Xenopus tropicalis: one gene and its partner. The protein of the gene in region 2 purifies or fractionates together with the protein of the main gene of each other region. This does not show direct contact. Links are inferred from orthologs where the notes say so. Each region holds a gene or a part of one and is shown on either strand. Other genes may lie near its edges.

Region 1 (3,749 bases), on a different chromosome or scaffold from region 2:
GAAGGGGTCCTAAATGGTTTTGCTATTAAACCCAAACGAGTCTAGTGGCAGCAGTGCAAATGTGTGTGTGACGTGACTGATGCTGAACTACAGTTTTCAACAGCAGCGCCAGTTGCAGGGAATCGTACACGGCGTAGGAGCTGCCATACAAACACACCGATCAGTACGGGCCGAGCTCCGGCTACAGGACTGGGTACTAAGAAGCAGCGCTGCTCTATTTCCAGGAAAGGGCGCTCTGAGGTCACAATTCCCCACCCCGAGTCGGGCTAGGACTCTCCGTTCTGCCTGCAGGGGGCCCCCGCCGCCTCTCACCGTAGCACCCGCCCAGCACCGGGAGGGGACGGGATCCGGAAAGAGCAGACGTATCCCACCCCCGAAAGGGAGGAACTTCTGGCTGGGAGCCGGGATTCCTGTTGGGCGCGTCGGGAAGCAGCAGCGATGCGGTCCCGGTAACTGTACAACCCTAGTCCGGTGCGAGGGAGGATTAGCGCGGCAGCGACCCCCAGGCAAAGCCGGGTTCCTAGCCGTAAGGGCGGCCCGACTGAGCACTGCCGCATACCCAGCGGTACTCTCCCGTCTCCAGTCCCAGGGAGGGGTCGCTCCAACCTGACACAACCCACTGACTCTACCGAAGAACCGTCTCACCCGGGAACCCCTGACCCTAGCGAGTAATGCCTGCGGGGCTGGTCCTTACTGGACCAAAACACCAGCTTTCCGGGCACCCTATCCCGCTTAGTCCAACCCCCACCCCGGGCTCTGACTCTCCGTACCAGTAAATAGCATCTTTTCGAGCCCCCGTCCGTAGCGAGGAATACACCCTAACCTACCGCCCGCTTCCGAACCAGCGGCTCCCGAGAAAAGCGCTCCCCCCTTTGTTATGGACCAGCCGTAGCTCCGGCGTCCGCTCCTTCCCTGCCGCGGCACGGCTTCCACTAGTACGGATCAGCCCATTCCGCGACCCAGGGGGAGCCTCCGCCTTAAAACGCTTTTCATTGGGATCGCTGGTAGCCCCGACTCGTTCACCCTGTGCCGGGAAGCCGCTTGGGCTGCCTTGAGCAAGGTGCGGGGAAAGGCTCCGAATCGGATTCGGCTAAAGCAGAGCCCGTATGGTTAAACCATCAGACGATCCAGTCGGGCTGCCTGCGGTAGTATAATGCGCCACAGGCTCGGCCGACTTTCACCCACCTCGTTATTTGCCCACAATGGGTCCCTTCGCTTCTACCCGCGAATGATTCTTTCGCTCCCCGTTAGACACCGGCCGACTGCCTCCTTAACTACCGGCAGCGCAGTCCAGGCAGCATCTGTTCTTCCCGGGAAACAGGGTCACCTTCTACCCCCTCTCCGCTCCTACTCACCGTGAGAAGCGCCGTCCCCAGCCCGAGTCCCCTGCCAGCCCACGTGTCGCGCCCGGAAGCCCCGCAACAGCAGCCGGACGCCCCCTCGCGTTTCCCCGCAATATGCACCCGAGCCCCGGCCAGCTCTGCCTCATGTTCCCGGCCCCCTCCCTTCGGTGCTCCGAGCCGTGTCGGCGCAGCTCCCCGCAATCTTCCCGGGCACCCACCTCTCTGCTCCCCTGGGAACGTCTCTCTCCTTCCCCCTCCGCAGCTCTTACCTTGTTCCCAGCTGCCGGGCCTCACCTTCCGGCCAAGGGGGGAGGAGGAGCCGGAGACTCGGGGGAGAGCGACCTCAGCAGCCCCAGCGCGGAACTAGCAGCCTCTTCCCGAGAAAAACAAGCCAAAGCCCGAGGGGAGGGTGCCTGGGAGAGGGCGCAGCGGGAACCCGGGCTGCTATTGCCCTTATTGGGTTCCACACTGCCCGTCACATACAGTGCCCTTCCCCGCATTAAACAAACCCATGCCCCGCAGGGTGAGCCCGGGCAGGGAAACTGAGGCTACACGTACCTTCCCCATAACCGCAACGGGGTGAGTCGCGCAAGGTGACCGAGAAAAGTGCATGTTTCTCGGCAAGCCCGACTGAATCGTGCCCGCTTGGAGGTGACATTTTCCCCGGGTTTCCCCGCACACTAACGCCCTTCGGTGGCTACAAATTCCCCGGCCGGTAGTGGATTTTATACTAATCCAGCGATCTGTGCCGTATCCGTCCCCAGGTGCCCGCAGACCCCCAAGCCGGCTTACCCCACTGTCTCTCCCAGGGATGTTGGGGGGAATCTGCTTGTCCGGATCTCGGAGACAAAGCGGCTGCGGCAGCCCCTGGGTAATGGCGAGAGCTCCGGGGGAGGGGGGGCGCTGCCTGCTCCTTCTCCCCGCCCAGCGTCGCTGCAGCAGCAGCCGGGCAGACAGAACGCGGGGAGCCGCCTCCTCCTCCTCCCGCTGCTGCACCCTACACAGCCCGGCAGGGGGGCCTCGCCAGCTCCGGGGGAGTTCTATGGAGCTCAGTGAAACCCACCTCCTGTGTGTGTGTGTGCAGCCCGGGCTCGGCTTCCTCCTCCCCTGTACAAGGCTGGGGAAGCGGCGCTTGAATGATGGCCAGATCTGCAGCGCTGGCCCCGGGCGTGGACTCAGACCCAGTCCCCGCAGAGAGCTCGCACTTCCCCCGCCTCCATCGCTCTCCGTGCCTATACAGCCTTCCAATCAGCCAGGCCCCCTCCAATCTCTCCCTGCAACAGGCTCCAGCTGATCCCTCCATCCCTCCCTTTCCTCCATCCAGCCAGCACCGCAATCTGCTCCCCATTACCAGCTGCCGCTACAGGCACCCCTCACATTCACCTCATACGGCAGCAATTTGCTTCCAGCTGTTGTCCAACTACAGCTCCCAGATAGGCTGTGCGGGCATTCTGGGAGCTGTAGTCCAACAATACAGTGATCATGGTTGAAGCAGGGCTTGGTGGCTGCTCAGATCCGGCGGCTGCTGGCTGCTCAGCGCTTCCAACCATACACAGGCGCTAAACCCCCCATAACAGGTTTTTATTCCCTATATGTTGTTCCTGTCTGACTCTTATTTATCTTCTCCTTTTTTTTAACCTAATTTTTTTTTTGACTCCACCTTTGTTGTTGAAAGCGTCAGAGAGAGGGAGCCAATCATGGGGGAAGCTTTCCTGGCACATCAAGGAGGGTTTCTTCTCTCTCTCTCTTTAACATGAACAGCAATCAGGCATAATGAGCGGGGAGCAGCTAGAGATGCCAGGAGCCCATACTGTGCCAGGGGAAGGGCTTTGCGCCTTACAGTTATTAACCCTTATTTATATGGTACTGACACTGCAGCAATGAGCAGAGATTGTACACCAGCCCCCGCTCCAGTGGAGCTTACAATCTAAGGTTGCTACCACATTCACTAGGGTCAATTTATCAGTACCACTTAATCTGCCTGTATGTATTTGGAGTGTGGGAGGAATCCCAGGGAGTTGCAGCTAGTGCCCAGGCTAGAATGAAACCCAGACAGCAGTGCTAACCAGGGGTGTAACTATATACAGGGTTGAACTGGGGGGCCCTGTCCTGGCCCCCACTGTCTGCTCAACTCCCTCTGCCGTGTGTCTTAGCTTATGTGCAACAGGGGAGAGAGCGCCATGGGTTTTGGGCCCAGTCCAACCCTGACTGGGGTGGGGGGCCCGACTGCAGGGTCTGCTGTGCCTTAGTCCCCCCTCCCAGGCCCCTTTCCTACCTTAAATATACTGGTGCAGTCTGGCCGGATGGAGGGACTGGTTGCGCCGGACCCTCTCAAAAGCTTTTTATGCAGGGGGCAACCAAGTTATGCCACTTGTGCTAACCCCTATGATGCCCATTGGTCAGAGG
Region 2 (3,649 bases):
TTCATCTCCCAGCAGCCCCTGCAAGCCTGTCTCTTGGTGCTTTCTCTTTCCCTGTTTACTATAGCCAACATTCTCAGCTCTATAAACTATGGTTAATGTTAAAGGGGAACTGCTCCCAAAATCTTTTTCTTTTTTGCATTATGAAAGGAAGCAGAGTGCTAAGCAATATTCCAGTGTTCAGTAAAGATGAAACAATGGGCTGAAAGTGATTTGCAATTGCTACTGAATGTGTATATCCTCTGCACCGTGGGTTCTGACTCTTGAAAAGAGGTTGCCGAAGCCAGACGGCTAACAGACCAGAAGGAGAAGAGACTTCTTGCTACATTATTTGCACAGTCAGAGCCCCCCGGAACAGGAGAGAGGGGCACAGATCTCAGTAGCAATGACAGTCACATATCAATTCCAATGGACATTTCTAAGGAATGGATATTGGGAAATTGCTTAGAATTATCTTTCATTGGGCAAAGCGCAGTTTTGGGGTGCAACTCCCTGATTGGTAATAACTCCTGCCGTCATAAAGGCACTGGGATATTGCTTAGAATTATCTTTCATTGGGCAAAGTGCAGTTTTGGGGTGCTACTCCCTAATTGGTAATAACTGCTGCCGTCATAAAGGCACTGGGATATTGCTTAGAATTATCTTTCATTGGGCAAAGTGCAGTTTTGGGGTGCTACTCCCTGATTGGTAATAACTGCTGCCGCCGTAAAGGCACGGGCAGTTGGAAACCCGGCGTAGGACTGAGAGACTGGCACGCTGGCAGCCACGCTGGGCACAGGGGTCTAAGGGAAACCCATACCAAACGCAGGATGGAAAAAAAACGTAAACACTCGGATTAAGACCAAACCTCTAAATCTAGTAGGAAAGTGTCACCTGGGGGGGCAAATAGGGGGCCCTTATATGAATGGGGCAATAGAGCCGCGTTTCTATCCCTACGAAACCGACGCAAGGCGAGCAACTGGAATTCTGCTCTTTCCGAGACATTAAAAATCAAAATATTGAATTTTTTTTTAAAAAAACAAAACAAAAAACTTTACACGATTAAAAATTTGAAATTTGACAATATTTAAATTCCCCCCTTCCAGTTACGATCTGACTCCTAAACCGCTCATAAAGTGATTTACAGAGAAAAAAAAATGCCCAACATTGCTTTAACCCTTCAGCTGCCAGATGTGCCACAAATCCATAGTCAGCGTTTTCTTTTCCAGCAAAATGGCACAAAAAAACCCCCCCAAAACTAAAAAAACACAGGAAATTTGCAGAACTACAACTCCCAGAATTCTCAACAAAATATCAGCCACATTGTCCACAAGCAACAGATTAACCCTTCCGGTTCCAGGCCCAATAAATTGATCCATACAAACTGGCACTTGTTACAATTACGCCTGAATCTGTCCCTCTGTGCCCTCCCTACGTGGATTTTATTAGGAAACATTTATATTGGGAACTGCCACTCACTAAGGAAAAACTTGATGCCAATTCAGCAGATATTTGAGCCATTTACCAAATAAAACAAAGCAAACAGATCTATAAATATATATAAAAATCCCAATTAATTCTATAGGGTGCAAGTAGGTTGATTAGCAGAAAAGACAATATTATTACATATTATTATTACATATATTTAACATTATTCTCTACTCCCCGCAGCATATTCAGCACAAGCGTTAGAGCAGTTAGAGCAGCCGGGCAGGGGGGCCCCAGTGCAAAATGGGCATTTTTAGACATTTAACTAATTATACATTATGCCTGGTACAGATCTTGGCAGTTGGGCACTGGGATAAAGTGGCATATGGGGTACATGGCAGGGGGTCTGTGGGGCACTGAATGGGTTTAATATTCTGCCTTTCATTTAACAGCTGCCCCTTTGGATACAAGGTGTTTAGTATATAGGTGCCCAGTATATAGCAGTGACTGGGGGAGCACTAGCCAAGCTGGCATGGGATTATGGGCATTCGCTGGTTAATGTGCCCAGCAGATGTGTAGGAATGGCACTACAGCGGCACTATGCAGTTCTGCCCCATGTTACACTGGGCAGTCGCTTCCACACAGTTAAAAGAATAGAATTAAACATACAATGTGCCATCTGTGCCAAGTTTACACAGCAACACAGCGACACTGGCACATTAATAATAATAGGGATTTAATAATAGGGGTCTCTATTAAACTGCAATATTCTACATACAGTCTAACGAGGGTTCAGTATATATAAATGTATATAACAGGGATGGGGGCAATTGAGTTAGATATACTGGGCCTTTGGGGTATCTCCCATATACAGGGATAGAGCACTGGCAGTGGTTCTGGTTCTGTATAACTGGATCTGGGATTCTGCTGCCTGGACCCTAATATATATATATATATATATAGTGACAATATGGATACATTGTGTATAAGGGACTGGGGACACATTTGGGCACATTTCCTCCCAGAAGCTTTAGAGAACTGATATGGGGATCCCTCTATGGAAATACAGGACCCATATATTCCCAATATGCCCAATATATATACATTCTAACATAGGGGCTCATGGAAGTGAGTATAGAAATGTAGTATGGAGGCAATAATCCTGCATTGTGAGTCTGGGGGGCATTTAGTAAATGCGCTATTTCCAGCCATAACGCTAATTTGGCTCCATATATAATATATATATACTCTGTATAGAAGCGATAGGGGCAACTGCTGGGCTCACTGACCCAATATAGACACATTCTAACATATGAGCTGATAGAAGTGAGTATAGAAATGGAGTATGGGGGTAATAATCCTGCATTGTGAGTCTGGGGGGCATTTAGTAAATGCGCTATTTCCAGCCATAACGCTAATTTAGCTCCATATATACTATATATATACACTCTGTATAGAAGCGATGGGGCAACTGCTGGGCTCACTGGCAACACGTACCTACCTGCCTTCTGCTAAATGTACTATTTATAGCGATGGCGCTAAGTTGCCCATACCGCTGTACATACACAGCACCGGGGTGGCGCTGGATACAGTCTGTGGGTGCATTTTGGGCGCAGGCGGTATGTTTGGTGGGAAGGAGGGAATTGCGCCGAGTTGCACTGGCCCTGCGGCAGGTTAGTAAATAGCCCCCGGCACTCACCTTGAAAGCCACCGGCAGGGTCTTGTTGCAGCGCCAGTGGGAGGGCAGCACTGAGCACAGGAAGTTGGGGCTGTCAGTCCGCACCAGCTCGGCCGGGTGATCCGCGATGATCTCCACCATGGTCCGGTTATCGGGAGCCCGCAGCCGGGGGACCGCCGCCCCCTCCTGTTGCTGCGGCTGCTGGGACTGTTGGGGCTGCTGCGGGCCGCCCACCGGGCTCACGTCGCTCATCTTGCCGGGCTGGAGGCTGTTGGAGGGCGGGCTGAACCTCCGGCTGGTGCTGGGATCTACGGGAATACGCATCACAACAGCCAGGGGTTATTAGCAAGGCGGGGGCAGCAGGGGGGTAACAAGGAGGGGATGCGGCACCCACTTACTGACAGGGCACAGTGCCCGGCATGGGCACAGGGGGGCAAGCAGGTACCGGTGGGGCAGCAGGAGGGCTCCCTAGCGAGTCTGAGGGACTGGGCGGCAGTTACAGTGAGTGCGGCTTCCCCCGCTGGGCAGTCCCTGTGAGGCTGTCGGGGTGCAGGGAGCAGTAATTGG

Evidence for each region. The genes of interacting proteins can lie anywhere in the genome.
Region 1: the proteins of runx2 (region 2) and ubtf purify together in Homo sapiens (co-immunoprecipitation; 3 studies listed by BioGRID and IntAct, with this or other methods). This does not show direct contact. The link is inferred for Xenopus tropicalis from reciprocal best matches to the Homo sapiens genes RUNX2 and UBTF.

The regions. Positions count from the first base shown.
Region 1 is NC_030686.2:18,523,280-18,527,028, forward strand, and holds the start of ubtf (nucleolar transcription factor 1), read right to left. Parts: upstream 2,563-3,749; 5' UTR 2,136-2,562; exon of another isoform or gene 1,902-2,135; intron 1,767-1,901; exon of another isoform or gene 1,356-1,766; intron 1,328-1,355; exon of another isoform or gene 1,186-1,327; intron 1,125-1,185; exon of another isoform or gene 828-1,124; intron 735-827; exon of another isoform or gene 158-734; intron 1-157. UniProt on the Homo sapiens protein: Recognizes the ribosomal RNA gene promoter and activates transcription mediated by RNA polymerase I (Pol I) through cooperative interactions with the transcription factor SL1/TIF-IB complex.
Region 2 is NC_030681.2:147,583,330-147,586,978, forward strand, and holds part of runx2 (runt-related transcription factor 2), read right to left. Parts: intron 3,391-3,649; coding exon 3,104-3,390; intron 1-3,103. UniProt on the Homo sapiens protein: Transcription factor involved in osteoblastic differentiation and skeletal morphogenesis. Essential for the maturation of osteoblasts and both intramembranous and endochondral ossification.